Arabidopsis thaliana: one gene and its partners. The protein of the gene in region 2 interacts with the protein of the main gene of each other region in a pairwise test. Each region holds a gene or a part of one and is shown on either strand. Other genes may lie near its edges.

Region 1 (13,135 bases), on a different chromosome or scaffold from region 2:
CAAATTTCAAGAAGTACATGTGAACAGACCATTGTCTGGTTCTATTCAAGAAGCTCCAAAAAGTCGACTTCTCAGGTCAAAACTCAAGCCTCAAAACCGAACGGCGTCGTTTGACGACGCAGAGCTCTACGTCGGAGAAGAGGAAGAGGAAGAAGATGGAGAGTACGAGCTTTACGAAGAGAAAACGAGTTACACATCTTCCACGACGCCTCAATCTCGCTGTTCTCGAGGCGTATCGACGGAGACAATGGAATCCACCGAACAAAAACCGAACTTGACCAAGACAGAGCAAGATTTGCAAGTACGTTCTGACTCGTCCGATTTGACTCGTTCCAACCCGGTGGTGAAGCCACGTCGACACGAAGTTTCGACGCGGGTCGAGGACGGAGATCCGGTGGAACCCGGATCGGGTCGTGGGTCGATGTGGCTGCAGATGATCTCTTGCGGTCACATCGCCACCAAGTACTACGCACCGAGTGTGATGAATCCGAGACAAAAAGAAGAGAACCTTCGAAAAGGAGTTTTGTGCAAGAACATTGTCAAGAAGACTGTCGTAGATGACGAGCGTGAGATGATAAGGTTCATGTCGGAGAATCCAAGGTTCGGGAATCCTCAGGCGGAGGAGAAAGAGTATTTCAGCGGAAGCATCGTTGAGTCGGTGAGTCAGGAACGAGTCACGGCTGAACCATCGCTAAGACGATCCAACTCGTTCAACGAGGAAAGGTTAGTACACCGAGTCAGCTCTAATCGACAAGTATGGTTACAAAAATTCACACTAAATCCTTAAATATTTGAACAGATCAAAGATTGTTGAGATGGCTAAGGAAACGAAGAAGAAAGAAGAAAGATCGATGGCGAAGGTGAAATGCATACCAAGAACGTGTTTAATGTCATCATCGAAGCAAATCAAGAAATAAAAAAAGAGAGTTTAATACTATAGAGTAAACGAATGATTATGGACTAGTATTTTATTAGTATTTACTGCTACAGATAGATGCAGTAAATGATAATGAATTTTAACGACTACATGTTGTTTTTTTATTATGGGGAATATATTTGCTCCACTTTATCTGACTAGTTGTTTAAAGAGAATGGAAATGGCAAAATCCGTATTCGTGTTGCAAAATCGTAAATTCAATCTAATCTTATGGGAATCCACTAGAGTGATAATATCTTTGTCGTTTCTGAAAGTTAAAATCTTGAAAATATGATATCAGAATTAAACATTGATACTGTATATAAATTAAAACTTGAAAACATAGAGATGCCTTGAAGAAAAGTGTTTTTTTTTTTTTTTTTGCCTTGAAGAAATGATAATTGACATATCCAGAAAAGGGCAAGGAGGTGGTGGGATGATTGGATATAAATCATGCCGTACATTCACCCAATCGATTCGAAGTACTTTTCGCATTAAGTTTTTTTTAAAATAAAAATTCGATATTTTTATTATCTGCCACACAATTAATAGTAAAGTTTTTATATTGACACCATACCAAAAGAAAGTTTTTTTATATTGACAAATCATGGTCTAGGGAACGTTCCATAGGGTTATCAAACATTTTCCCATCGTTTGAAAGTCCATGAAAATCATTTGGTCAGTACTCAATTTTTGTGGTAATATATATATATATATATATATAAATATAATGTTCTTTACTTTTGTTTAACTATTGATCTGATTTGCAAGAAATAAAATTTGCATATGCAATAGCGAGCAGTGGCGGATCCAAGAAATAATTTCATATGGAGCACAGTTAAAAAAAAAACAATAAAATGATAATAGTAAGGCTTGAACTTGGATTGATGTGGGGCACTATTAAGTAAAAAGCCACTGTACTACTTACATTTTAACTACAAAATGTTAACTTATATAATATTTATTGAATTCAGTATAGGGCACATGCCCTACCCATGACTAACGTGAGTCCGCCCCTGATAGCGAGTAAGAAACGAGCAAAGGAATGCAAATTATGTGAATACTATACACCAACAGTGTAGACATGTAGCTACAATGCGGCAATGTTAAAAATAAACTCAAATTGGTTTGGAGGGAACAACCTAATGCTTATAAGTACACTTTTGTGGTAAATACAATCCAATTGAAAGTCTTTGTAGGTTTGGTTTGGTCCAATGAAATTGTATGCGAGTTGAGTAAAATAACCTTAGTTCAAAACATTAGATATGTAATGGTCTAGATACGATGGTAGCCAAAGATTTGGGTTAAATTTAGAATAAAGATCAAAGAACAAATGACTGACTTCCTTATGTGTGTTTGTTTATGTAAAGTCTTAACTCGTGTCTTGCCAAATTAATAAAAAGGTGCATTATACAATGAACTAGAGCTTGTTCTCATCAAAAATTTTAACATTAATATAAGTTATTAAAATTTTGTTGATTATATATGATTTCAATATTAAATTATATTTTTTGCTTATAGCATCAAAACTTCTTGGCACAGCTCCGAGTGTTACTGAAATGTTTGTGTGGCTCCAATAGAAAAGTTAATACCAATCATGAATCATCAATATCGTTACAAAATCAGTAATCAGTTTCACCCACTCCGAGTGTTAGTGAAATGTTTGTGTGGCTCCATTAAAAAAGTTAATACCAATCACCAATATCGTTACAAAATTTGTAATCAGTTTCACCCACTTCTTTTCGTCTTGTTACTCGATATAGCCTCACCTTTCAAGTGTCTAATATAACATTTTTTAACAAAATATTACAAAACAAGAAAAATTATAGTAATTAGATTAATCATATGTAATCTATTACATATAGTAATTTGTATTAGTATCGTTTATTGTGTTACCATTCAAACGGTATAATCTATATAATTATTAGCAAAACAAAATATAGTTTTAGTAATTAATAAAATTAATATAATGATAGTGATATTCAGAATGTGGTATCTAATCATGTAAAAATATATAATAATAAAATTAGATAAAGAAGAAATTGGTAAAAAATAATTAATGAGATATAAAAGGAAAACAAGCTGATACAAGCATTTCACCAAAAAAAAAACAAGCTGATACAAGCAAAAAAGAATTAGTAACTTTGAGCTATTGCCATATGTGTGGACATTTAAGATTTCTTGTATTTTAGAAATCTTATATATTTCCACAATATATTTACTACTTTCCTTTATTATTTGTGTTAATCTCCCGAACATTATTATTTCAATACTATCTGAAAAACACATTTTTTTTTATAAAATTTGATGACGTAGGCGAGTGGTTCTTTGTTTTTACTATGTAGGCACGACTTTGGTAACACCTACTAATTAACTGCCAAATTTTAAGTTTTGAGAAGTCGGAAGAGTTCAAACCAGTTTTAGGTTTCGATATGTCTACATAGTTCAAAGATGATGTAGAGTGGAGGTTCTTTCTGCAATAGTTCAATCCGTATCGTAGGGGAGGAAAGATAGTTTTCATTTAGCAACGAAAGTGAAAACTAAGGCAATGCAAAAGTAGCAAAGACGCTCGTCATGCGGTACACGTGGCAATCTTGTCTTCAAAACACAACGTTTTTATTCACATATTTGGTTTTTTTGCATCACTCTCGTTTACCCCCAAAAAAAAAAAAATATCTGGCCCGACGAAGAAAAAGTAGATAGGCACAAAAAATAGAAAGAAATAAAGCGAGAAAAGGAAAAAAAAAAATAGAAAGAGAAAACGCTTAGTATCTCCGGCGACTTGAACCCAAACCTGAGGATCAAATTAGGGCACAAAGCCCTCTCGGAGAGAAGCCATGGGAAGAAAAAAACTAGAAATCAAGCGAATTGAGAACAAAAGTAGCCGACAAGTCACCTTCTCCAAACGTCGCAACGGTCTCATCGAGAAAGCTCGTCAGCTTTCTGTTCTCTGTGACGCATCCGTCGCTCTTCTCGTCGTCTCCGCCTCCGGCAAGCTCTACAGCTTCTCCTCCGGCGATAAGTACGCCTTTTCCTTACCTGGGTTTTCATTTGTTCCCCCTTTTATCTTCTGTTTTGTGCTCTTTTACTTTTCTGAGAAAATAAAAATAAAAAAACAATTAATATACCGTTTGGTTTTTTTCCGGCGGATCTCTTGTTGTTTCTCGGTTCTGTGTTTGTTTGTGTTTTTTTCTGCGACCATGATAGATACATGAGATAACCAAATTTAAGGAAGAACAATGTCGTGAAGAAGCTTTTTAGCTTCTTACTTTTGTTCATTTCTCTCTCTATTTCTTAAAAAAAAAAATTCTGCATGGATTTCATTATTTCCTTGGAAAAAAATTGCATGTCATTCACGATTTGTTTGATACGATCTGATGCGTGCTCGATGTTGTTGAGTGAAGTTTCAAGCCATCTTTGATTGTTTCTTACCTTTAGAGATTCCTTAAGTTTTTGAAGAGTTAATTATATATCACAAGACTAATGATTAATGTCTCTTTTCAGAGTGATTAAAATTCATTGGATCTCTCGGATTTGTATGCAATGCACTTACGGGAGATCTATAGAGTTGCTATGGGGTTAATGCTGAACAATGTATATATACCACATTGTGCAGCTATTGACTATATAAGACTATTGTTAATCTTCTATGAATTCCTATCTTTGCTGTGGACCTATTACTTGGTGATTATCCAAATTAGTGTTTTTAATTGATTCATATTTTTCATACACAGTAGTTTTGAATTTTGGTAGCTTCAAAAAACTCAGCCTCACAATTAGTACTTACCGCACATATGCTACTTCAGTAACATAATCTGGTTATCGATTGCGATTCTTTGAATCACAATCGTCGTGTGCTATATATATAACACCTTTTGCTGTACATAAACTGGTCTAATTTTAGACTAATTAAATTTCATTGTTCTCTTGGATTTGTATATGCACGTCCGGGAGATTTATAAATAAAATTAGTATGAGGTTAATGGTAAAAAGGATCAAGAAGTTTGGTTTTAAATGTAAGCCACATTAATTGGGAAACTATGACTAAAAGATGAATTGGTAATATATACATAATATTTTTAACGAATTTCTCTCCTTTTTATGGGATATGCTATTTAAAGATTGTCCAAAGGTTTATAGTTTCCCACTCTTGCAGTTACACACATAGATTTGCCTCATATTTATGTGATTGTATATCAATTATCGCCCTTAATCTTATCATCGTTGTGTTCATTTATGACTTTGTTCCTATTCGTTAAAATTGACAATCCACAACCTCAATCTTTTGTTGTGAAAATCGACAATCACACAACCTTTGTATCTTGTGTCTTTTGTCACACAACCTTTGTATCTTGTGTCTTTTGTCATGGAAATTGTCATTCACACAGCCTTGTTTCTTTGGTGCCTCTAGGAAATTGAAAATCCCACAACACTTGTCTTCATGTAAGAAATACCAACCTCTTTGGTACGGATCTATAATGAATCAATATAATCCTATATATAAGTTGTCAAAATTGAATCTGGTGTAGTGTCTACTACAACCCTCCAATATAATAACCAAATGGTTGTAGTAGTTTGGCCATGTTGGTCAAGATCGCTGGCCGATTCTCACTTGATGCATACTTTGTTAGGATTTGTTCACCCCTAGTTAGGTCCAGCCTTGGAATTGTCGAGACACCTGACTAGAACTCCTGGTCTTAATTATGATTTAATAAAGAAGAAGCCTTTTAGAACGTGGAACCCTTAGTTACTCAGTTACTCTTTTTGCATACTTAGGTTGATGCAAAGAGCTTAACTTCACAATAGGACTGATATCTATTAACAAAACAAATTAAGTGAAGTTTTGTCAAAATTGTTGGATCTTCTAGGTCAATATGTAGTTTAGTTTTTATCTGTCTTAGTCGCTTCCTTCTATGGAAGATATATTTATAGATATGTGTGATAAGTTTCCTACTAATATTAGTTAGTGTAACTTCAAGGGCAGAAAACTCTTTACTTTTATTGCTTGATTAATTTGGGGTTTAAATATAGGAAATTGGAACCTCACAGTTTCTATAAACGAGTAAGTAATTGAATGTGAAATAACAAAATGGAAGACCGGCTTCCTATTCTTAGGAGTCTTTTGATATTTGCAAAAAAAACATATACAATAGAAATATGAGTTTTGTCTAAGACTCGGTCCATGTATTTGGAGTTTGGCTTCCTCATACTTATGGTTATCTGGTTACCGCCACATCATCATTATCATCTTATGGGTCATCAATACTAGCTCTATCGCTGGAAAAAACCTTGTCCTCAAGGTTCATTGAAAAATCCGAAAAGTTTTCTCGTATATGTTGATATGGTATTACTTACAAACAAAGAGCTGATGTTACCAATTTTGACACGAGATTACTAATGAACTCATGAAAGAGGCGTTTTTAAAAAATTCTTTTTAAAACTGGGATACAAAAAGAAAAGAGGTAACTAATAATTTGATACCATTGTTCGTAGTCCTGATCAAATGTTATAAGGGTAAACATGATAGAAAATAGAGGGTAAATAGGTTTTGTTCTTATAATGGTTTTGATAACACGCTTTGTAAAGGATATAGGTGTTTTTTGATGCTAAAAGTTGTGGTATGGATCAAAACCAAAATGGAAGCTCTGAATCTCTGATAGAGGTTGCAATTAGAATTATATAAGTTAATTTGCAAATGAATTGGAAGCAGTCTTCCACTATTTGCTATTGTTAGGGAAGTCTTTCAGTTAATTTCAGAAAATTAAGAGAAATATGACTTTCTAGACTCAGTCTGTGTACTTGGAATTTTACTTCGGTTTACTTCCATGTCATCACATTGTGGCTCATCAATATATGTGTGTATATACATTCATGAGTATATATGATTTCTGGAAAAATAAAAATTGCTTGTTTGCATTTAAGATTGGGGCTGCGTTTACATTTTATATTGCATCAATTATTTCAACATAGATTCACAAACATAAATGCATAGAAACAATCTGGACAGTAGAGGCTTATGTTTAGGGTTCTTATGTACCTTAACTAGTTTGACTTTAAGTTAATCAAAGCCAGCGCTATCACTAAACTTTATCTGTATGCCTTTGTATGACTTTTCTTTGAGGGAAAATGTCATTTTCAATCTGCCGAAATATATAATAAATACATGTTAGCCCACATAATTCATTGGATAACTAATCTTTGAGCAATTTTTGGTAAATGTTTTGGTTCTTTTCTTTTCTTGAGAGAGAAAAAAAATATCAGATATTATTAAATATTGCTTACAAAGCTAAGAACAAGTTAAAACTTTTTTGAAAAAGTGGAAATTCAGATGTGCTACTGCTTAAACATGAATATTAAGATTATTGTTTTTCTGAAATGTTACGAATACTAGCGTGTTATATATATGTAAAAGGTAAGGTGTTCTCTCAATGTTTCATAGTTTCCAGTGGCCTTTTCAAGGGTTAGCTAGTAGTTTTGATCCTAACATATTTTTATTTTTTTTGTCATCTCTCCAGCCTGGTCAAGATCCTTGATCGATATGGGAAACAGCATGCTGATGATCTTAAAGCCTTGGTAATACAAACATTTTGAATCTTTTCCCTGATGGAGTTTTATAAGGCGTAAATTTACTATTAGTTTGCCGAGTGATCCTAAATATAAAATGAGGTGGTGGCTCCACATGCATTATGCATACCGCAATTTTCATAGCCCTTGTCTTTTACCGCTTCTTCTGTCCCTTTTTCATGGGCAGGATCATCAGTCAAAAGCTCTGAACTATGGTTCACACTATGAGCTACTTGAACTTGTGGATAGGTTAGTACTACTAACTAAGACTATATTTGCTCTCCACCTTTGATTACAAAGGAATTAGTTTTTTTTTTGTCAAACTATGAATATATGCAGCAAGCTTGTGGGATCAAATGTCAAAAATGTGAGTATCGATGCTCTTGTTCAACTGGAGGAACACCTTGAGACTGCCCTCTCCGTGACTAGAGCCAAGAAGGTAAGTTGATTTCGTAATGTCTACTCCTTTCTGAATTTTGTTTGCTGAGAACAACCGTGCTGCTTTTGTTTGTTGCAGACCGAACTCATGTTGAAGCTTGTTGAGAATCTTAAAGAAAAGGTCAGATATTTGCTACCAATTTTATTGTACATCAGATATATCCTCTTCTGTGTTGTCTCTGTTACTTTAAGTCTGCTTAACGAGCTTGCACACATATTTGCAACTTTCTTCATATGTTTTGGATTCCAAATTCTGAAGTTGTTAGGTTTAGAAACTTGATCGGTAATTGCTGAACATTTTGATCTTTAAATCAGGAGAAAATGCTGAAAGAAGAGAACCAGGTTTTGGCTAGCCAGGTAACGAAAGCTACATTTCCTAAAAATATATATGCATAACTAATAAGCACTGCGTGTTGTGTGTCCAATGTCCATGTACATGGACATAGATACACACTCTTATGCTTGCAGATATATATATATATATATATAGTCAGTGCATTTCAATCATTCACTAGTTAGCACTTTCCTGTCTTGTATAGTTGTATTCTAGACAATTCTTCTCAAGATTAGGGCATTTTGGTTGTTGGTAGTTTGGTTTATTAGGGTTAGTGAGATTATTACTGAATAAGAACAGAATTTTGATAACGGCTGGTTAGAGTTAAGGGAAATCAGATGAAGTTATTTTTTTATTTTTTATCGAGTATAAATTACATGATTGCTATATCATTTTACTAAATTAAGAAAAAAAAATTCCGGTTGTTGGACATAACTAGGTTTTGGTTCTTCTTCTTCGTTTTTTTCATGTTAAAGTGTTTAATTAGGTTTTGGTTCATTTGGAGATTTATGAACCTTTTATAGTCTGGTTAAGTCTGGGTTTGGTAGAGATTCAATAAGATTTCTTGATTCTCTTTCAGGTTATGGTCTGGTTCAGTCTAGTTTAGTTCAATATTGGTTTCCTTGAAGGTTGTGTAAACGTTGTCTATATTTAAGTTAATCACCTTTTAACCAAAAAAAAAAGTTTATGGACCGATTAGTTTTTTTTTTTTTGTTTTTTTTGTTATGGTTAGGTTTGGATCCGAGTGGCTCAGTTCCAACTCCAAGTGTCTAGAAGTAGTGCTACTTTTACATGCTATATATAGGTTAGATTATAAATTATAAACTGGTAAAAGATTATAGATACTGCTTCCAAACTTAAAAGCTTAAACATAAAGAACACACAAATTATGAGAAACATAACCTTCTGTAGTGTTTTTTAATGGTTGTTATTTGGTGGTGTGAAAAAGATATTCCTTGGATAGAAGACAAAAAGAGAAAGTGAATAGTGATTTTGACCTATGATTATCGTACAGATGGAGAATAATCATCATGTGGGAGCAGAAGCTGAGATGGAGATGTCACCTGCTGGACAAATCTCCGACAATCTTCCGGTGACTCTCCCACTACTTAATTAGCCACCTTAAATCGGCGGTTGAAATCAAAATCCAAAACATATATAATTATGAAGAAAAAAAAAATAAGATATGTAATTATTCCGCTGATAAGGGCGAGCGTTTGTATATCTTAATACTCTCTCTTTGGCCAAGAGACTTTGTGTGTGATACTTAAGTAGACGGAACTAAGTCAATACTATCTGTTTTAAGACAAAAGGTTGATGAACTTTGTACCTTATTCGTGTGAGAATTGCATCGAGATCTTGAGTGTATGTGTTCTTCACTTCTGTCAAAAACTTGTGTTTGCTTCACAGTGAAGAAGCCTACGGCTTATTTTGCAACAGGGACGTGGCTCTCTCTCTCTCTCTGCGCGTTTTTTCTCTCGTCGTAATTAATTTGTTTTTATCCTAAACGCGTATGGTTGGCATGGGTTTTTTGGGCCTATGTCGGTCACATTCGGCCCAATAAGCTTAGTTCTTAAAGTCATTGCTGTTAACGTGACCGACCTCTTCCATATTTTCTTTGGACTAAATTCACTTCCGTAGTTCCGTCATCCATGAAGGATCCCTTAAACTAATCCACATTTATATAATGATAACACTTCTTTTTTTCCCACTAAAATGATAATACTTTTAGACATTATATGTATAAATATAATTCACATATAGAATAGAAAAAGTTACGCTCGTATTTATATTAATTTAGATCAACAGTTCCAGACGCCATTGTCATTAATCACCTTTTAACATTTCTGATTTAAATTAAATCATAGTCTATATACTCTGATTCAGCCTACAAGATGATAAATAGAGAATCGTCAGTGTTAAAATGCACTCTTACGTAACGAGGAAACATAAGCACGTTCTGGTCGGACCGAAGCTAACCAGCAATTTCATCACTCTATTTCACATTCTAGTTAATCCACAAAATTTTGATATACAAAATTATAATATTATTCATTGTATAATTTAAAAGTGAAAGGTTTGTTAAATATAGTAGTAGAATTACAATTTAATTACCAACATAAAGTCAAATGCCGAATAAAGCATTCGAAATAAAATTGTAAAGTCCGATGGAGACGTAGACTAGAAATAACAAGTACCATACGAGTTGACTTGTGTAGAAGGCAACACAAACTTTCTCGCCGAGTACGGCGGAGGAGCAGCCGCAAGTGGATCCAGCCGACACTAAGGAAGCTTTTAATTTGCACAAGATGCGATACACTTACACCTGACCCTTCAATTTCCTACTTATATAATACATAGTTTCAGTTTTCACATAATACACAAAACCCTTTCACTAATAACAATCTCCAAATGGCTAAATCATTTGTACCTCTCATCGCTGTGTTATGCGTTTTGGTTCTCCCACTTGCAGCCATGGCGGTTGGAACGCCATTCCACATTGAAGGAAGTGTTTACTGCGACACTTGCCGCTTTGGATTCGAGACAATCGCCACCCAATATATCCGCGGTCCGTATTTACACTTTACCTAGTTAGTATTCTCATATATATATTTCACATTGTACCATTGTAATTCATTGGATCTGATTGGTTACATGTAAATAGCATAATAGTATACAGTACTTGCAAATTTTATCTTCACAAGTAAATAAAAAATCACCCATTAGGTAAATTTTCAATTAAATCAACTTTACCTCTAAATCTTCAATTGTTTGTTTGAGTTCAAAATAATTTGTTATTGTTTTATTTTTCATTTTACAAATTATTTAATTAAGGAAATCCAAAAGTCTATATTTAGAAATGTAATTATTTATCAAAAAAAAAAAATGCATGCGAAAACAAAAGCAGCAATTTTAAGACTGAAATAATTTTGAGGGTTATATGAAAAACAGGGGCAAGAGTGAGAATAGTATGCAAAGACAGAGTGACACTAAAATCGGAGTTGGTTGGGGTGGCGGTGACGGGACCTGATGGGAAATACAAAGTCGCCGTCAGAGGAGACCGACAGGACCAGCAATGTCTGGCGGAGCTTGTTCACAGTCCACTGTCCCGCTGCCAAGAGGCTGATCCTGGCAGAAGCACCGCTACCGTGATCCTCACGCGCTCCAACGGAGCCGCCTCTACTCGTCACTACGCCAACGCCATGGGTTTCTTCAGGGACGAACCGCTCCGTGGCTGCGCCGCTCTCCGCAAACGCTACCTCGCAGACGGCGATAACCGGGCTATTTGAGTCATCTTATGTTCTTGATGAAACAGAACACAAAAGTTTATTTAGAGTTTTTATTTATTTCTATTTTATTGTATTGTTGAGTCTCTAAAGATGGTGAGACTATTTAGACATATCTAAGATAAACCATATAAAATAAAGTATTTGCAACCTTCAAAAAAAAAAATCTCATGTCCTTGGCAAGAAAGAGGAATTTGTTGTATGTTCTGTTACTTATGTAGGATCATCATTTGATATGCTGCGTATAATTACGATAGTTCTTCAATATTTTATATTTTAGTTATCTTATTATTACGAGATCTAAAAGTTATTTTATTGTGTTGTATAGTAACTAGAGAAGTACAGACAGAAATGTTCTGACTTTGGGTACATGTAAAGCATAGCAACTAATTAACGAGCTTAACTATTAATCGAACATGTATATGTCTTTGTCCTCGCAACCCATGTCCCAAACTGAAAAAGCACTCCGGTTCACGTTGTCCGATCGATCAGATTTTGTAAGTTGGTTCAAATTCACGTTGTCCGATCGATCAGATTCTGTGAGTTGGTCAAAGTCCGTTCCAGTACCCTCATCATCTTCGAATCTCCTAGAGCAATGAAACTCCTGCTGCATCTTTTCTAACCAGAAATATTCCATCCAATTCCCATTAATGCTATGATCATCATCATCTCGCTTGTCCAGTGCACGCGAGCTCACATTGTAATAATCATCTTCACTAGTCGAATTAGTAACAATACTTGGAACCGTTTCAAGCAAGGAAGATGTATATTCACCGCTCTGGCTCGGTTCTTGGTTCGACCCATAAAGACACTGGATCTCATGACCCGTCCTCGAGTTCTTGTCCCCGAATCCAAAACTCACATCACTTTTAGGACAACTCGAGTTTTGGCAAGTGTAAACACTCTTAGACGGTTCCATAGACTCACTTTTTCTCTTAGACCCCGACGATTCTTGATCGTCCTGATCTTCCGAGATCTTGAGGTCTTTGATATTGAGAAGAGCTTCTTCTTGGTTTAAGACACGAGACCAAGTATCAGTCTCTTTAGCCATCATTTTATCTTGCAAACTTTTAGATTGTCTCGCCAGACGTCTCACTCTTCCCAAATTCGGCGACATGTGTTTAATCACAGCCGCGAGAACACTAACTTTCCAAGATTTTCTCAAATCGTGCGGCTTTCGATATGGCGGTGCACCGTGCTCATGTGCCGCTCCTTGTTCTCCCCACCAAAGCTCCGTCCCCGTCGGCCACCATGGCGGAGCAATTCCTTTCTCTAACGGAAACCGCCGCTGTGGCGGCATGCAATGTTGCATTAACGCTGATAGTAACGACCCTAGTGTCGTGTCTTGCAGTTCCTGTAACATGTGTAATAAGCTCGAGGATGATGAGGACTTATCGATTAGCTCTGCTGCAGCAGCAGCAGCCGCGAGTGCTAAGTAATCTGTGATAGCGTCTGGAGCGTTTTGGTCGAACTGAACGTTTTCTTTCCACCAACGTCTTAAGCTATCGGAAGAACCGGTTATTGGTTTACCCTTTTCCGGTACAATTCCGTATACAAAACCTTTAGCTTTACACACCTCCATGATCTTCATCATGT
Region 2 (9,407 bases):
CTTCTATTTTCGCTTCATGGTTACGTTTATTTGTAAAATAAATCTTTCCTTAACCCTGATTCACGCTTTAATAGCTTTGAAACAGCCATTGGAAGAGATATTGTTGACATTACTCTGATTGCTAGGAGATGCACTAGGAGAAACGGTACTTGTCTCTATGTGCTTTTTTTTACCCATTATTCTTCGATTTCAAGTTACTCAATCTTTTTTATTGCATTAAAGCCTAGTGTGAATCTGTAAGTAGGTCAGTCATTTGTTTGACTGTTAGAATCTTTCTACTAGACATAGCAAGAAATTCAGATATTGACAGCACTTGATGGGACTTGTTTTTAAAATAGGAAAGCATGATGTTTGGCACCTTAACTTCAGTTGAAACTTAATTCTTTTAGATAGATAAGAGAGATATATGTCCTTGCCTGCTGGAAATTTAAATGCTGAGTATTGTGTTGTGAATGTGTCTTCTCCCTTATCCTGGATCGTTTTACAAGGTACACGTATGTGGAGAAGAGGAGCGGATCTTGATGGCTATGTTGCTAATTTTGTGGAGACTGAGCAAATTGTACAGATGAATGGGTATACGTCATCATTTGTTCAGGTAGCTTTTCTTACATGCTTGCATATTGTGAATTCCCTTAATGCTGCAAATCTTTGGTCATTTTATAATTACCTTTTTTTTTCATACAACTTTTCTCGAGACTGAGTTATCCACGATTAAACTCTTAATGTTATTTTGCTTCCTACATTTGCAGGTCAGAGGATCCATGCCTTTTATGTGGGAGCAGGTTGTAGATCTGACTTACAAGCCCAAGTTTGAAATTGTCCAACCTGAAGAAGCTGTGAGTACTAATTTCTGACTAATTACCTACTCTTTTAGTAATTTATCTATTTCTTTCAAGTAAATTGCATAGGGTGCTTTTCTTGTAGAAACGGATAGCTGAGCGTCACTTTTTGGACCTTAGGAAAAAATATGGATCAGTTTTGGCAGTTGATCTCGTTAACAAGGTACAAATTCTTTCAAATTGACATGAATACTTGTGTAGTTATGTGACTCAAGATGTTGTACAGGTCATGTTTGTGAGCTCACCTTGGTCTTTAAATTAATTGCATTGCATAAATCTACTCCAACTTTTTATTCCTTAATTTCTCTAATCAGCAAGGCGGTGAGGGGCGCTTATGCGAGAAGTATGCTACTGTTATGCAACACATTACTGGGGATGATATAAGGTAGTCAATCTGTTCGTCTAATGTGTTTCTTAGACAACTTGCTTATTGTTTTGCAACTCATTAAAGGAGGTTCCTTATCCTGTAGGTACCTGCACTTTGATTTCCATCAAATTTGTGGGCATATTCATTTTGAGCGCTTATCAATTCTGTACGAGCAGATCGAGGGTTTTCTCGAAAAGAATGGGTATGATTCTTTGTACATTTCTATTTATGTAATCTTGAAATCTGAATAATTATAAATAAAAAATGGCACGTCATTTTGCATTCTCTGAAATACGCAGGTACTTTCTGTTGAATGAAAAGGGTGAGAAAATGAAGGAGCAGCTTGGTGTTGTCCGATCAAACTGCATAGATTGCTTAGACCGTACAAATGTTACCCAGGTTAGCCATAAGAAAACTATGATGCAGCTAATATCATATTGGCCTTTGCTCATCCATGCTGCATACTTCCTGCCAAATGCAGAGCATGATAGGTCGAAAGATGTTAGAAGTTCAACTCAAAAGGATTGGAGTTTTTGGCGCTGAAGAAACCATAAGCTCACATCTGAATTTTGACGAACACTATAAAATATGTCAGTCTCTTACCTTTGTAGGAAATCTATTGTAGAACTTAGATGTAAAATTCCGAATTTATTCATGTTGCTTATGTGCTTTCGCCTTTCAGTATGGGCTAATCATGGTGATGAAATCAGCATTCAGTACTCTGGTACTCCTGCACTTAAAGGAGATTTCGTTAGGTACTTTTGCCATATGTTTAATCTTGGGTCTGAATAAGTCCTGGCTATAAAGCAATATAAGGGAGTGTTTTGTAGATTACTCTACATTGCAATCTAATGCGTCTCTAACCGGCTCAATTGTAGGTATGGGCATCGGACTGCCCATGGTGTCCTTAAAGATGGTTGGAGCTCCCTCAGACGCTATTACCTGAATAACTTTGCTGATGGAACTAAGCAGGTCAGTGAATTTTCATTCTCAGTAACTCTAGTTGTATCATCTAATAATGTTCAGTTGCAACTGTGTGCGACTACTTTTGGTGTCACTTACCCCTGTAACTGGAATGTGTCCTGACGCAAGTTAATATGGCTATGTGCAATAGGATGCAATTGATCTCTTGCAAGGGCACTACATAGTTGCTGTGAGCCGAGACATGGCTCCTGTACCTCAAAAGGGAGGCCTTGAGGCTGTAGCCGTAAGCATTTATCAATTAAGATTAGAACTAATTTCCACTATATTAGCATACAAAGAATTCTAGTCTTATAACAATGTAAATTTCATGTCTCAGAACTTCCCAGTGGCATTGTTCGTGGTTCTGATGAGTTTCTGGTTTGCAACAATGTCTCTAAAACAAAGTAAGTATGGTATTTCTTTTGCTGGATAGTTAAGATTTTCTTTCAAACTTAATCTGAAACTGTGTAAAATTTGCTGAGCAGCTGGGAGTGATTATAAGCATAAGCACTTGTTCTTCTCATTGTTGTGGACGGGAATTTGCGTGGGCATGGCTGCACTGGTGAGGGCCAATGGCAGGATCTTCTGTAACCGACCTCGTCTGCACAAGCCCAGAGGCTGATTCATTTCGTGAGATCAATTAATTAAAGACATGGAACTCAAGTCGGAGACAAAAGTTTTCTCCCTTCGATTGTTTTATTTTATTGTATCAAAATTGGACCTTGTGACACCATCTAGAGGCAATTGTCTCAGGTTTGGATCCCTCATGATTTAATACTCCCACAGCCATCAAATGACTCGATACAGTTACACATCTTTCTTCATGTTCATTCTATGATTACTCGGTCCGACAAATGGCTTTCTAAATCCCTACTTCTTGTTGAGTGATTCCATTGTAGAATTCATCATGAGGCATGATAGACCAATGGCAGACAAAGGAAGTGCATGTTCTAGGTTGTTTAGCCATAACCTATGCGCATCTTTGTTATTCAGGCTCAGTCCCTAGATGGTCAATCGTTATATTAGTGTTAGGATCCATTATTTTGTGGCAGATGCACATCTACCCTCTGTTAAATCTTTTCTACGGTTGTTTCTGAGAGATTGTGCTCCATTGTTGCTTGATCATTTTTTGGATATTTGGTAAGGATTCAAACAAACCAAAAAGAGGCCTCACAAGTTCAAGAAGCAGTTCAATGAGGCATTTTTAAATTATGAAACCAAATATTAATCATTTAAATATGGTTAAGATCTACAGTACAAAAAATGGAATCAATCAAAACTTGGAAAAACCAGAGAAAAAAGCACACAACCTTGAATATCTCTCTGACTTTCCTATCAAAAGAGGAAACAAAAAAAGAATAAAGTAACTCTTCTTACCTTTTTCCAACTTGCTCTCAGTTCCTTCACAACTCGTTCAAAACACCTTTGAGGAGATCCAATCCCTCTGCAGAGATGCTCCTCCTCTTATGCGACTTGGGAATCTCAATCCGAGGAGGCGCTTCGGGCGAGAAACAGACAACCACTACAGTAAGATTGTCACAGCTGTTTCGTTGAAGAGCCTCCTTAACCAAAGCTTGAGAGCATCTCTCAGGATCATTATGCTGCATCAGCTCCCTCCTCACCATCGTCACTGCACACTGGCTACTCATCACATCCCAGAGTCCATCACAGCCCATTATAAGATACTCATCCTCTTCCGTCAGCACAATCTCTTCCAGCTCAGGCTCGCAGCTGAGCGGGCAGAGTGAACCTTTAGTTCCCTTAATGTGCCAATCTCCTAAGGCTCGAGCCACAGATAGCTGCCCGTTAAGGTAACCATCGTAGATCACACCTCCAAGCTTCTCAATACGTAGCCGCTCGGAAGTACAGTTAGGTTTGTGGTCCTTTGATAACTCAATGGCTCTGCCTCGTTTCCCAAGCACCGCTCTGGAGTCACCAGCGTTTGCAATCAACATAGTCTTGTCCAAAATGAGAGCAGTGAGTGCAGTAGTGCCAGAGGATCTATCAAGAGAAGAAGCATCAGCCAAAGCATGATCAGTCTTCACAAAAGCACTCCTTGTTGCCTTCTTTGTGCTGGTTGGGAAATGTTTGTCTTCCATTACAAGCTTCATAATGTTCTTTTTTGTGAATGATGCAGCATCAACACCTCCGTGTCCATCAAACACCTTCATAAACAAACAATCATTTTAAAAAAGAGAACTTTTTTGAAATATTCGATGAAGCAAATCTTATATACCCCATAGAAAGCTCCAGTGGATGATCCAATATACTCAGTGAGATCATCAACACAAATGAATTCATCTTCCATTGATTGTTTTGGTCCTTTATCAGACCAACTTCCAGATCTAAACACAGGCTGGAATGTTGAATTTACTCCTTCCGGAGATTTTGCACCAAATCTCTCATCTCCTTCCTGCAAACAAATCATTTTCACATTGTAAGTTTCAAACTTTGGATTGTTTTTGAGTCACGAGATCCGATCTAAGCTACATTATCTTATCTGTTCGTGACCGTGCAATTACAATCACAAGCATTTGAATTTAAAAAAAAAAAAAAGCAAAGAAGAGATGAACCAACGTAATCGGTCAACCAGGCAGTGCTGTTGCAATGGCGCATTGCAGAGATGTTTCTTGGAGGTTTCCCAGAGGAACTGAGATTCGTCATTTTGTCATCTGCGACTTCCAATGTGTTGATCATCGGAGAAACTTCAGTCACCGGTGCCATTTCCAGATTCCGATCAAAAGCTTTCTTTTTTTGTCAGAGTCATCTCTTTTAAATTATAAAAATAGCTTCTTTCTTCTTCTTCCTCCTTATTTTACTCACCAATCAGCTCTCTGGATGCCACGTGTGCTTCCAATCTCCATATTTTTTTTTTAGTTTGAATATAAAAGAGAATTAAATCTTTTATTAGTTTCCCATTAGCGAAAGATGAAGATTGTGTCTGGGTTTTACTCTCAAGCAAACCCATTTCTTTTTGGTGGTGTCGTCGGAGTCTTTGTATCATTTTACTTAGAGAACCCTAATGGTACATTTTTTCATTTCTGCTCCGATTTTTGTTGGTTTGTTTGTTGCTATCTACTTTACAGAAAATGACAACATTTTTGTGAATTTCGGTCTCTATAGTGCTACAATTAGCCATTAAACAATTGCAAAAGCTCGCATTTGTAGGGGTATTAGATAGCAAAAAAAGTGTTGACTTGAGATGTTTGTTTATGCGCACTAACTCGATTGTGTAAAAGCTGAGTTTTTTTTCAAGTATCTATCATCTGAGTGGTCTTTTTGGTATTTGAAGGAGCTTCTGATTTTGATGTGGAAGTAATCATATGAGATTGATAGTAAGTTGGGGAGATATGAATTGATGGTTCCACTGAGACACAAGGATATGAGTGAGTGAGAGTTGAATCTGTGAACGAGTTATGGACTGTATGCTTATGACACTGTATGGCTGCTTGCTTACGCCATTGATGATTTTGAGAGCATCTTACAGGTTGACAGAATCGGCTTAACCGCTAGGATAAAGTTTACTAGAGACAGGAACCTTGTAAATCCAGCTTTTGATTTGCTTAATGTCATTGGCACTGGTTACAGGACCATTGGTTACTGGTATAATAATTTAGGCTTGTCTGTGACGCCGACTGACGAGCTGGAGAACACATCCTTTTCGGGACAGAAGCTTCATAGTGTTGTCTGGCCATGACAGAATTTGAACAATGGAAGGCATTTGAGGAGTGGAGTTCCAAATCGTTCCGAAGAGGTTGTCTCAGTCAAAAGCAACGGGATGATCTCTGGCTTCTGTGTTGATGTTTTCATTGCTGCTCTCAACTTATTACCTTATGCAGTCCCGTTTGAGCTTTTAGCTTTTGGGAGTGGTCATGACAATCCAAGCAACTCTGAGCTAGTGCGCTTGATAAGGACTGGGGTGAGTACATAAGCACTCTTTTAGAACTTGTTTTGATGATCCCTCTGTTAGCATAACTCAATAATAAGTATACCTCTTTGTTGATCAAAACTCTGTTTGTAAAATAGTAAATCATTTCGATTAATGAATATTTAAAGTTTAATATTTTATTAGTTTCTCTTCTTCTTTTTGTCACTTTCATCTTCCTCAGTCCTCACGCTTGTACATATTATACAGTAGACAAAAGCTTGAACGAAATATGAAGGTTGTGTCTGGCTTTTTGATCAACCTTTGAATCAATTTCCAAAACCCTTAAGGTATACACTTTTTTTTATCTCGGTCTCTATGGAAAAGCTTTGATTTTGTGAATCTGGGTTTCTTTCTTTCTACATTTAGCCAATTATCACTTTTTAGGGTATAGAAAGCCAAAAAAGGTGTTCACTTGAGAGTTTCTTTTTGCGCACTAACTTGATTGCGTGAAAGCTGAGATTTTTCATCTGAGTGGTATGTTTAGTATTTGAAGGAGCTTCTCACTGTGATGTGGAAGTAATCATATGAGATTAGAAGTGGGTTGGGGGAAATATGAAGGATTTGAGTGAGTGAGAGTTGAATCTGTGAGTACCATTACATAAAGAAGATCTCCACTTTACACCTACTATAATGGGCACTCAATTACTTCCTCCACCATTGCCTCATGCTTAGTGAGAGAAAGTGACAGGTCAAGCATCTTTCTTCCCTCAAACATTCTATATCTGCTCGTAATGGTGGCTAAATTCAGTGACTTGACCTTCCTCTCTTTTTTACTTTGTGAAACAGGAATCTCCTGAAATTGAGAAGATGAAGTGGTTTCTGCTTATGCTCATCATCTGCAATGCTGTTCCTTTACAAGGACTCACCAAAATTGTCTCTGCGAGACCCCAAGTTGTGAACATCGGTTCGGTTTTCACATTTAATTCTCTCATTGGTAAAGTCATCAAAGTTGCTATGGATGCTGCTGTTGAAGACGTCAATGCTAGCCCCAGCATTCTTAACACCACTACACTTAGGATCATCATGCATGACACCAAATACAATGGATTCATGAGCATCATGGAACGTAAGTGAGACAACTCTGTGATTATTGGATGATTATTATGTGTTTGTCTGTCGAGGTTCAATCATTTCCTTTTTATGTTTTGCTCACGGATTATTCGAAAGGTCTCTACTCCTCTGGTCTTCTTTACCTTTGAATCAACTTTTTATGCTCGCTGATTCATTTTCATGTCTTGGATTGTTCTGCTATCTACTTTAGGTTATGATACTGCAACATGCAAGTATACTCATGTCCATATTCTGGTATCCGGTTAACTGACTGATTGTTTTATGTATCATATTAAAAGCTCTGCAGTTCATGGAATCTGAGACAGTGGCCATAATTGGCCCTCAGAGATCTACGACCGCCCGTGTAGTAGCTCATGTTGCAACAGAACTAAAAATTCCTATACTATCCTTCTCTGCCACAGACCCTACTATGTCTCCTCTGCAGTTCCCTTTCTTCATCAGAACTTCACAAAATGATCTCTTTCAGATGGCCGCCATAGCAGATATTGTTCAATTCTATGGTTGGAGAGAGGTGGTAGCAATATACGGCGATGATGATTATGGCCGAAATGGGGTAGCTGCCTTGGGAGACAGGTTATCAGAGAAGCGCTGCAGAATCTCATACAAAGCAGCTTTGCCCCCCGCACCTACCAGAGAGAATATCACCGATTTGCTGATTAAGGTAGCTTTGAGTGAGTCAAGGATTATCGTCGTTCACGCTTCTTTCATCTGGGGCCTAGAGTTGTTCAATGTGGCTCGGAATCTTGGTATGATGAGCACTGGTTATGTGTGGATTGCTACCAACTGGCTTTCTACAATTATAGACACAGACTCTCCTCTCCCATTGGACACCATAAATAACATTCAAGGGGTCATTACACTGCGCCTGCACACTCCCAACTCTATCATGAAGCAGAACTTCGTTCAAAGGTGGCATAACTTAACTCATGTTGGACTTAGCACTTATGCACTGTATGCTTATGACACTGTCTGGCTGCTTGCTCAGGCGATTGATGATTTCTTCAAAAAAGGTGGAAACGTTTCCTTTTCGAAGAATCCGATTATATCTGAGCTTGGGGGTGGAAACTTGCACCTTGATGCTCTGAAAGTCTTTGATGGAGGAAAGATATTTCTTGAGAGCATCTTACAGGTTGATAGAATTGGCTTAACCGGTAGGATGAAGTTTACTAGTGACAGAAACCTTGTAAATCCAGCATTTGATGTGCTTAATGTCATTGGCACTGGTTACACGACTATTGGTTACTGGTTTAATCATTCAGGCTTGTCTGTGATGCCGGCTGACGAGATGGAGAACACATCTTTTTCGGGACAGAAGCTTCATAGTGTTGTCTGGCCAGGACATTCAATAAAAATACCACGTGGCTGGGTGTTCTCGAACAATGGAAGGCATTTGAGGATTGGAGTTCCAAATCGTTACAGGTTCGAAGAGGTAGTCTCAGTTAAAAGCAATGGGATGATCACTGGCTTCTGTGTGGATGTCTTCATTGCCGCTATTAACTTATTACCTTACGCAGTCCCATTTGAGCTTGTAGCTTTTGGGAATGGTCATGACAACCCAAGTAACTCTGAGCTTGTGCGCTTGATAACGACTGGGGTGAGTACATAAGCACTCTTTTAGAACCTGTTCTGTTGATGGCTCTGTTGGTGGGTGTGTATTTGACATATTTTGTGGCTCAAAAATCTTTTTCACAGGTCTATGATGCAGGTGTTGGTGATATCACCATCATAACAGAGAGAACCAAAATGGCAGATTTTACTCAGCCGTATGTGGAGTCAGGGCTAGTGGTGGTGGCTCCTGTTCGGAAGTTGGGCTCCAGTGCTATGGCGTTCTTGAGGCCGTTCACACCCCAGATGTGGCTTATTGCAGCTGCGTCTTTCCTCATAGTCGGTGCTGTCATTTGGTGTCTTGAGCACAAACACAATGACGAGTTTCGAGGCCCTCCTCGTAGACAAGTGATCACTACTTTCTGGTGAAAACATAATAAGCTCCAACTGGATGAACGTAATTCCAAACACTACAATTTTTTCTCTGAAATATGTCGTTGTTTACTTGTCTTGCAGGTTTAGCTTTTCAACTCTTTTCTTCTCTCATAGTAAGTGTACTGCCCACACCCCCTATTCTATCTTAAGTTGTTTTCCATTTTTAAATTGGTTTCCAATTTTCTCTGCTGAATTTATACAGGAGAGACTACCACCAGCAACCTAGGAAGAATAGTGCTGATAATATGGCTATTCGTAG
Region 3 (8,784 bases), about 11 Mb from region 2:
GATTACGTGGACCAGTGTTTGTAGTTTAATGGTTTTACTTAACAATATATCACCACATTATCATTAGACTTATGTATTCACTCTAGTTTTCTCTGGCCATCACTATATTTAGTTTGGGCTTTAAATTGGGCTTCGAAGCCCAGCTATACTCTTTTCGCATAGCCACTTTAGGAACAATTCATTTATTTCATTTTTTTGACTTTAGGAAACAATTCATTTAATTATAACTTCTACATTTTTTTATTTTATTTTTGTCAACACGAACTTCTACATTTATTTACAGAAAGAAGAGAAACCAAGTCCCATGCCCAATTATTCCTACCGAGACTTTTAGTTAAATTACAAGCAAACAGAATACATATCATTGAATGTGTAAGTGTGAAAATGGACGAAAATAGGTATAGCCAGAGACATTTATATGCATTCATGAATTTGTTAGTATTTCTTACTGTTTCGATTGCATGTGACTTCTTTAATTTTGAAGATTATCATTATCTCCAACACTACATAGAGCATTTCTATATATGCATACACTATTCTTTCAGTTTATTACTATTAATGTTGTATATCACCCGCAAGTCCAAACACACATATAAATATTGAAACTGTTGGTGGATATTTTTTCCGTATGATTCTTTTATCAAGCTTAATTACATCAATTAAATAGTATCACAAGTATAAATGGTACAAGTTTAAATTACTTATAAGCAAATGACACAAAATAAATAATTAAACATCAATTATAATAAGTGATGTATAAATTAACATGTTTAGCGTCACTTCAATCAAATTGATAGAAATTTGTATTAGTTTGCATCATTTTAACAAATTGATACAAAAATCTGTATTTACACCAATTAAATAACCGATGTATTCACTTAATTTTATTAACATCAGTTTATAAAAATGATATAAAATTATACATCAATAAGAAGTGATGCTAATAAGTTTTTCTGTATTTTAATTTAAACAAAAAACTAACTTGAATTTATTGTAGATGACGAGAAATTGTTATTACCATAAATAAATAATCATATTGGGTTAATAATTTATTATTAATTTCTATATTTTCCCTCAAAATCAGCTAACTAAATATATTTGTTTCCTTCACTATAAATCCTGCTTTCACGCTCACGATCTTTTCTTACAGTTTTGTATCCAAAAACGTTTTTAGAATATCTTCAAATTAGTTTTTGAAATCTCATAACTCTCATTCAATTCTTCATCTTCAACGACAAGTACTTTCTTATTTTTCTATCATTCTATCTTTCTCTTTTTCTTAACCATTGCTCAGTTTTTTTCTTTTCTTTTATTTTCAGAAATCTGCCATTGATCATTAGGACTGTTTGTTTTCCTACACAGTTTGGAGAAACACAAAGTAAAGGTACTCTATCACTTTCTTTTAAAAATACTTACAAATGGTTATTCTTATTCCGACCAAAACAATTCTATAAATTTTCAAACAATTAATCTCTTTTTTATTTTGTACAGCAGAAACTCAAGTGTGATGAGGATTCAAGGGATATAAGTTATAACCAAAGTATGATTTTGATTCTGTAAATGGAAGAGAGATGGCATAGAAGAAGAACTGGTATTTTTCAAGAAGAACCAACAGTTAATGGAAGGAAGAAGCATGGAACAGAAGAAAGATGTGTTTAAACATGAAGAAACCAAAACCAAATTATGATTATTTTTTTGCTTATCTTATATAAAGATTTATTGTTCATGTAAAATATTTTATAAAATCTTGATAAAATTTTAGTAGATATTCCAACGAGTAATTATCCACAATGATCTGTTATTTTTTAAAAAAAGAAATAAATAAAATAATTATTCAAAATATTAATAACATTATATTAATAATTATATATATATTATTTAAATCAATTATTTAAACCGAAACAAATACTAACATCACTTAAATAAATTGATGTAAACATTACATCATTTTTAGTAACTGATACAATATTGATATCAATTACAATAATCGATGTAATTATTTTGATTATTTACATCGGTTACTAATTAACCGATGCAAATTATTTGCATCAACAATATTTAAGTCACTTATTTAAATGATACAAAATTCTTTTACATCACTTTTAACTAATGCAAATATTTATAATAAATGATGTAAAACAACCTTTTTTTTGTAGTGTCTCCAACACTACATAGAGCATTTCTATATATGCATACACTATTCTTTCAGTTTATTACTATTAATGTTGTATATCACCCGCAAGTCCAAACACACATATAAATATTGAAACTGTTGGTGGATATTTTTTCCGTATGATTCTTTTATCAAGCTTAATTATATAGACCTTACCTTGACCGAGTTTGTTTCTTATCCACATGCCAATTTAGAATATTTGTTCGTGCGGGTTTTATGAAACAAATGTTATTGATGAAAGAAATAAATGTAGCTTTAGGAGGCTAAAGTCTACGATGAGCTGTAGTCCCAAAGTTCTTTTTCGTCTGTTATAAATTCACTAGTGAATATTCTTAAGTCAGTAGGATTCTCACATGTTCTCGAAATCCTATAAAACATTAATGCTCCTGATCAGCTTATAGAAAACGAATGACAATAGTTCTTTATCTAAATCCATAAAACATAATGGTATACTTGTTTTACTATATATTATCTGCATGATCTCACTAAAAAGAGACTACGCCAAAAGGAAGTCAGCCTACATAATAACAAATCTATTCAACTTCCATAATATCATTTTTCTTGAGGCTATAATTATTTTCCATTGCATATATAGAGAGTTTTGATCCATCGTGATTCGTTAAACGTTCTATTATATCCTAAAAAACGATATGGCAATAGCTAAAACCGAACTTATAAAACGCGGTTTCAATCGGTCCATAGAAGTTAAAGGGTACCGGTGTGAACGAAGTAAGTTTATGGAGGTGAATATTATTTTGTCGGTTCTGAAATTGAATACAGTAAAATATTAATTTTAGCAATCCTAAGAGTAGCAGGCGATCGCTCATCGATCGTATTTTTTTCTAAGTTTTATTTTGTTTTTGTTAAAGCATATTTTTCTAAGTATAGAAACCATCGAAATCAATTTCAGTTTTGGGGAGAACTCATAATAAATTTCATAAATGCTATTTAATTAATGAGAGCAATTTGTATATTCTTAATTGTTTTACCTACTTTAAGCACAACCACAAGTCCACAACTCCTTAGTGAATGCTTCTTTTAAAAAATTTGGTTTTATTATTTTGTAGGTATTACATGTTCACATTCAAAATATATTTCACACTATATTAGATTAAATTTAACTAAGCTTTAATATTTCACTAGCTCCTACTAGCCTTCCAATTTTTACAATTTTACTTTGCAATTTTTACTCTCGATCCAAACAAATAAGTACTTTTTTGTACTATATTCAAAGATGAACAACTTTATATTTTTCTTGAACAAAAATGAAATTGAATAGAGAGAAACTAGCTACCCTAACTAGTCACTCGAAACCTTATAAATAACACCTTCTGTAGTTTGTTTTCCTATGAAGAATATTTTTCAACTTTATCTATTATATTATCCTTTGTTAAACTTTCCCTGAAAATTGTTAGAAAATAAACTAATTAAAATAATTCTAAGCATGACGTTTTTGTAGTTATTAATTCATGTTACATTAGACGCACGAATTTAATTATAATACACACCCCCGTAATTAAGTACATTAAAGACCCTAAAGTATATATATTAACCATTGATAAAACAATTTAGCCCTAATTAGTGTCCGTTCACACACATAATCTTTCCTTTAGCTTATATATACGCTGGTGTGTGTTTTTAAGAAGCTTCATACACTCATTTTCAAAACATTGAATACTGAGACTTGAGAGAGATCCCAACAGAAGAAGAAGAGAGAGATGAACCACCGGGACAAACAAATTGATTCCGGCTCTGGCTCTGGAGAAAACCGCCGGACTTATGACTGCGACATCTGCAAGAGAGGTTTCACGAATCCTCAAGCCCTCGGTGGTCACAATAACATCCACCGCAGGGAACGCGAAAGATACCCCTCCTCCTCTTCTTCTTCTCACTCATTTCCATTTTCTCTTCCGTTACCATCTCAGTCTCCCTCCTCCTCCACAAACTTCACAAACCCTCCTCCTTATTTTCCGACCATTGAGTCATACCTACACCAAGGGTCTCAGCCACCTATTAACCCTAGCCACAACACACAATACTTTGGATCATCATCATCATCAAGAGGAGGAGGGAGATTTGCTCAAGGGGCGTCTCATGATCTTAATTTGAGCTTAGGGCTCGGATCCATGAATGAAGATGATGACACTCACCGGAGCCCACCAGAGACCGGAGGTTCTCAACCTCAAGATGGTGATCTTGATCTTGATCTTCGACTCGGCGGTCATCGTCATCATTAAGCTTGCAGCGGTTTCCCTCACGTTCGATCCACGTAACCATATACAATATATATATATAGTTGAAAGTTAATCACCGTATAGTGCATGATGTTTATTGTGGTGTTTATATATGTTTTCAATATATATGTAGTATGATCAAAATATGTTGGACTTGGAGTCATGTTTTTATCATGATCGTATGAAGTTTGGGTTTGTATAATTCAAGACTATATTTTTCACTTAAAAATTATAGATCAAATAGGTTAATTTGAGTAATGTTTTTGTTATACCTTTTTCAAAAAGAAAAAAAAATGTTCTTGTTGTCTGAAGTTGGGTTTGTATAGTACAGGATTATTGTTCTTTTCCATAACTATATATTAGTGTAGATCTATAGATCAAGTAGTTTTGCGTAATATGTTCTAATAATTAGTTACGTTGTATGAAATTTGGGTTTGTATAATCAAAGACTATCTATCATTCTCTTGTATAATATTTTACATGAATTTACATTTCAAGTGGGTTTGTATGAATTTACATTATAAAGTAAGTTTAAACTTATATTATGAATGAATTCGAACTGCAATGGGATAAACATTATATGCGTTTTAATAATAGGTTGGTGAAGTTTATAATTTACACCATTTGAAAAGCCTTCCAAATTTAGAAACTACATTTTTGCAGACCCATGTGAGCTCATATGAATCAATCATAGCCTTGATGTTGTAAAACAAATTATGATTATAAAAATGTGATAGTATATTACATGCATAAAAAATAAAGGAGAGTAAATGAAAGTCAAATCTGGGTTTTATGAACTGAAAGTTGAAGTTTAGAAGTAGAAGTAGCGATCAAAGTATGACCAGTTAAAAGGCCCAATATCATTTGGAGGTTTGATTTTTGGGTTCGTAAATTTCAAGAGCCAGATTATGATTTGCTGGGCTTAAAAATCATGGAAAAATTGAAATGACGGTGTTAAAATATATAACTCAAATTAAAGATTTTAATTGGGTGTAGTAGGCTGATTTTTTTATAAGAATCTTGTCTATAGATGCTTCAAGGTTATGCCTTATAGTACTGGTTGTAAAACACCACTATCTAATTTTGAAGCTGGTCAGAACTATAAGGTATGTTGTTGTTGGCCTTGTTGCTAATGAAGATTATAACATTCTGTTGTTGCATTTTTTTTTTTTTTTTTGTGTTAAATATATATATTTTTTTTGCATATTTATTGTTGCATATTGTGTTGCATATTTAGTAATGGTTACATTCCCTGTTATCGGAGATCCAAGATAATACGGCTCTTGTGGCATGGACTACTACTCCATGGATTCTTCCAAGTAATCTTGCTTTGTGTGTCAATGCAAAGTTTGTCTATCTTAAGGTTCGTCAACAACACTGGAAAAGTCTACATTGTTGCTGAATCTCGGTTGTCATCGCTTCCTAGTGATAAGCCTAAGGCCGGCTTAACTAATGGAACTTACTAGTGATACCATAATGCGAAAGGTGCTAATTAAGCTTGACAGTGAAGAGGATTCTTATCAAGTTTTGGAAAATTTTAATGGAGATTCCTTGGTTGGGAAGAAGTATGAACCTTTGTTTGATTACTTTTAGCGATTTCTCAAGTGTGACTTTTCGACTAGTAGCAGATGATTATGTCATGAATGATAGTGGTACTGGTATTGTCCATTGTGCTCCTGTCTTTGGTGCAGATGACTATCGTGTTTGTCTTGAGAACGAGATAATTAAGAAGGTTAGATTTGACAACATCTTCCTTATATCACCACCTTTAACATTAAGTTTATTTTCTTTCTTGTTTAAGTTTACAGTATCTTCAAGAACCCATGTTCATGACACATTTTGTTCATGTGTTGTTTAGATTGTCAGAGATTTCAAACGTCCAGATGGTTTGAAAGATACAGAGATTGATGCAGCTGTAGATAGTACATATCTTAATTAAAAATACCACTTCTCTATGCTCTATTGTTGAGGAAACATATAATATTTGCATTCGTTCATGGTTCAGATATGATGTTATGGTAATTCTTGATCTACGAGAAGATGAATCTTTGAAAAACGAAGGTGTTGCCCGTGAGGTAAATAAATGTAACCGAAGCGATTAATGGTCATATATAAGTTGTATATTTGATATATGGGTTTCCTTCTCATTGTGCTCATGCATTGAAAAGCACCCTGTTATGACTGTGGTTCTAGGAGAACATTTGCATTTGACAGTCGGTGACTAATTGTTAAGCAAGAAGAACGCATGAGAGCCTTTTAAAGTGTTTTCTTCTAGATCGTTGCAAAAAGTTAAATGTCTCTTGAGACTTTGTACTCATTCTATAGATAAAGATGGGATTTATTACAAAAACAACAAGAAACTTTGTTACTTGTGGAAATTCAAAATTATCCGAACTAGCTTCACAAAATATGCTCAAGAGTTTCAATGTATTTTTTTTTGTTCTGTAATTGTATGACTCCGTTTGAAGCATCAAGATTATGGTTATAGGTAGTGATGCTAAAACTCTCTGTTGTTACAGTGACCACTAAAAACACCAACAAAAAAAACTTAGGTAACGTGTCGTCTAAAAACTTCTAGGTTCAATTTCTTTAGATAGTACTATCAATAAATAAAATAAATATGTACAAAGGCTTTAAACAATGATGTTTTTCAAAGATGATTGGTAGATACTAATTAGAGCTTCAATATAAAAGAACACATGCGATTCTGACATTCTGTGGTCTAACATGGTTTCTTCTAGAGTCAAAACCATACAATTAAAAGTTAGGAAAGTAATAGCAATGTGGTTTCAAATATATACTCATTACTCTTTAGATTCATGTATGGTGAAGGAAACATTATAATAAAATCAAAGATCACAGTTTTGTAGGTCCCTCATATTAATCAACATCTTAAGGCGTTATACATATCTTCTTTTTGTAAATATTTGACTAATTAAAATATCTAATTAGAGTATTAGACTAATCTCATCAAATATCCGACTACTTGTGTCAGTTCAAAACACAGTGATTACGTTAGATTTTGTGCTCTTTTGTTTATAAACAAAGCTAATTTAAGAAATATATGATCTATTTGCCTCCTTGGTCTTAATTTTATACTTTCTTGGAATAAAACACATTTATTAAAATAATTTTTAGGTTCCTAGATTCATGTCATGTGGCTTGATAGTTTCCAACAATTATACCAATATTTTACTCATTCATATACAAATAAACAAGCTTTATTCTATTCTTCAGTCTCATGATATACGGGATTTTGATAAAATTCAGAGTACCCATTAATTATTCTATGTTACAGCTTGTAATAAGTTAAATTTATAAAACGTACAAGTTGAGGAAATAACAAATGTTTTCAATATTAAATGATTTATTAATACATTAGTGACCAAAAAATTATTAAGTGTAAGAAAAAAAACACAACTCAGAAAAAATTCAAAAGACCGTCTAAGTTCGGTTCATGTAAGAACAAGTGGGACCTCTTTAAGTTTCTAAATCAGAGAATAAAGAAGAAGAAAAAATCTCAAAACCTTCCTCTAAAACCAACGGCTCCTACCTTTACTTACACCCTATACATACACTTCTCTTTTTATCCTCCATCGGCGGCTTATGGCGGTTTTCCGGCACTAATCATCTCCGGCATATATAAATAAACGTACTTCACGTTTTTTTATATAACTTCAAAGTAGTTTCAGATTTGTCTCTATCTCTTCACTTTTAAGTCTTCTGGTTTTGTCATCACCAGCTTTTTTTGTTCTGTCTCTGTCTTTCTCTTTGTGTATTTTTATTCTCGTCATCGTTGTTCTTCTATGAGAGGAAGATCGGAATGTCGAAGAGAATTAGAAGATTCTCGTACATCACTTCGTTGGAATTTCACAGGTCGATGAGAGATCTGAGAACTGTTTCATTTTGATCCAAACTCATCTCTTTCAGGTATTCCAAATTTTTCTTTCTCTGTTCTTTCTACTATTACCCAAATTAAAGTTTTGATTTTTATTTCTCACTCTGTTTCTTGTTTTTCTAATTGCAGAGTATAATGGACTAAGCATTTTTTTTCTCCGAAGATGGTTAAAGAAATAGCTTCTTGGTTATTGATACTATCAATGGTGGTGTTTGTTTCTCCGGTTTTAGCTATAAACGGCGGTGGTTATCCACGATGTAACTGCGAAGACGAAGGAAACAGTTTCTGGAGTACAGAGAACATTCTAGAAACTCAAAGAGTAAGCGATTTCTTAATCGCAGTAGCTTATTTCTCAATCCCTATTGAGTTACTTTACTTCGTGAGTTGTTCCAATGTTCCATTCAAATGGGTTCTCTTTGAGTTTATCGCCTTCATTGTTCTTTGTGGTATGACTCATCTTCTTCATGGTTGGACTTACT

What was found.
Region 1: the proteins of AT3G51470 (region 2) and FLC interact in a two-hybrid assay, tested with the Arabidopsis thaliana proteins (one large-scale study listed by BioGRID).
Region 3: the proteins of AT3G51470 (region 2) and URO interact in a two-hybrid assay, tested with the Arabidopsis thaliana proteins (one large-scale study listed by BioGRID).

The regions. Positions count from the first base shown.
Region 1 is NC_003076.8:3,169,958-3,183,092, reverse strand, and holds FLC (K-box region and MADS-box transcription factor family protein), read left to right. Parts: upstream 1-3,644; 5' UTR 3,645-3,753; coding exon 3,754-3,938; exon of another isoform or gene 3,939-4,009; intron 4,010-4,044; exon of another isoform or gene 4,045-4,108; intron 4,109-4,196; exon of another isoform or gene 4,197-4,209; intron 4,210-7,431; coding exon 7,432-7,489; intron 7,490-7,667; coding exon 7,668-7,729; intron 7,730-7,819; coding exon 7,820-7,919; intron 7,920-7,997; coding exon 7,998-8,039; intron 8,040-8,233; coding exon 8,234-8,275; intron 8,276-8,985; coding exon of another isoform or gene 8,986-9,057; intron 9,058-9,095; exon of another isoform or gene 9,096-9,201; coding exon of another isoform or gene 9,202-9,216; exon of another isoform or gene 9,217-9,267; coding exon 9,268-9,369; 3' UTR 9,370-9,711; downstream 9,712-13,135. Other genes in the region: AT5G10150 (UPSTREAM OF FLC protein (DUF966)), read left to right, coding at 1-723, 800-917; AT5G10130 (Pollen Ole e 1 allergen and extensin family protein), read left to right, coding at 10,665-10,821, 11,205-11,542; AT5G10120 (Ethylene insensitive 3 family protein), read right to left, coding at 11,946-13,135. UniProt on the Arabidopsis thaliana protein: Putative transcription factor that seems to play a central role in the regulation of flowering time in the late-flowering phenotype by interacting with 'FRIGIDA', the autonomous and the vernalization flowering pathways.
Region 2 is NC_003074.8:19,094,352-19,103,758, forward strand, and holds AT3G51470 (Protein phosphatase 2C family protein), read right to left. Parts: upstream 4,925-9,407; 5' UTR 4,894-4,924; coding exon 4,747-4,893; exon of another isoform or gene 4,598-4,746; coding exon of another isoform or gene 4,583-4,597; coding exon 4,406-4,582; intron 4,335-4,405; coding exon 3,573-4,334; 3' UTR 3,371-3,572; downstream 1-3,370. Other genes in the region: RHD4 (Phosphoinositide phosphatase family protein), read left to right, coding at 65-145, 489-595, 750-836, 925-1,002, 1,154-1,224, 1,310-1,408, 1,506-1,605, 1,688-1,796 and 5 more; GLR3.6 (glutamate receptor 3.6), read left to right, coding at 6,905-7,163, 7,447-8,762, 8,861-9,138, 9,230-9,261, 9,351-9,407.
Region 3 is NC_003074.8:8,246,688-8,255,471, forward strand, and holds URO (C2H2 and C2HC zinc fingers superfamily protein), read left to right. Parts: upstream 1-3,831; 5' UTR 3,832-3,891; coding exon 3,892-4,410; 3' UTR 4,411-4,796; downstream 4,797-8,784. Other genes in the region: AT3G23145 (ATP binding / aminoacyl-tRNA ligase/ nucleotide binding protein), read left to right, coding at 5,451-5,513, 5,672-5,770, 5,954-6,139, 6,266-6,329, 6,445-6,509; ETR2 (Signal transduction histidine kinase, hybrid-type, ethylene sensor), read left to right, coding at 8,469-8,784.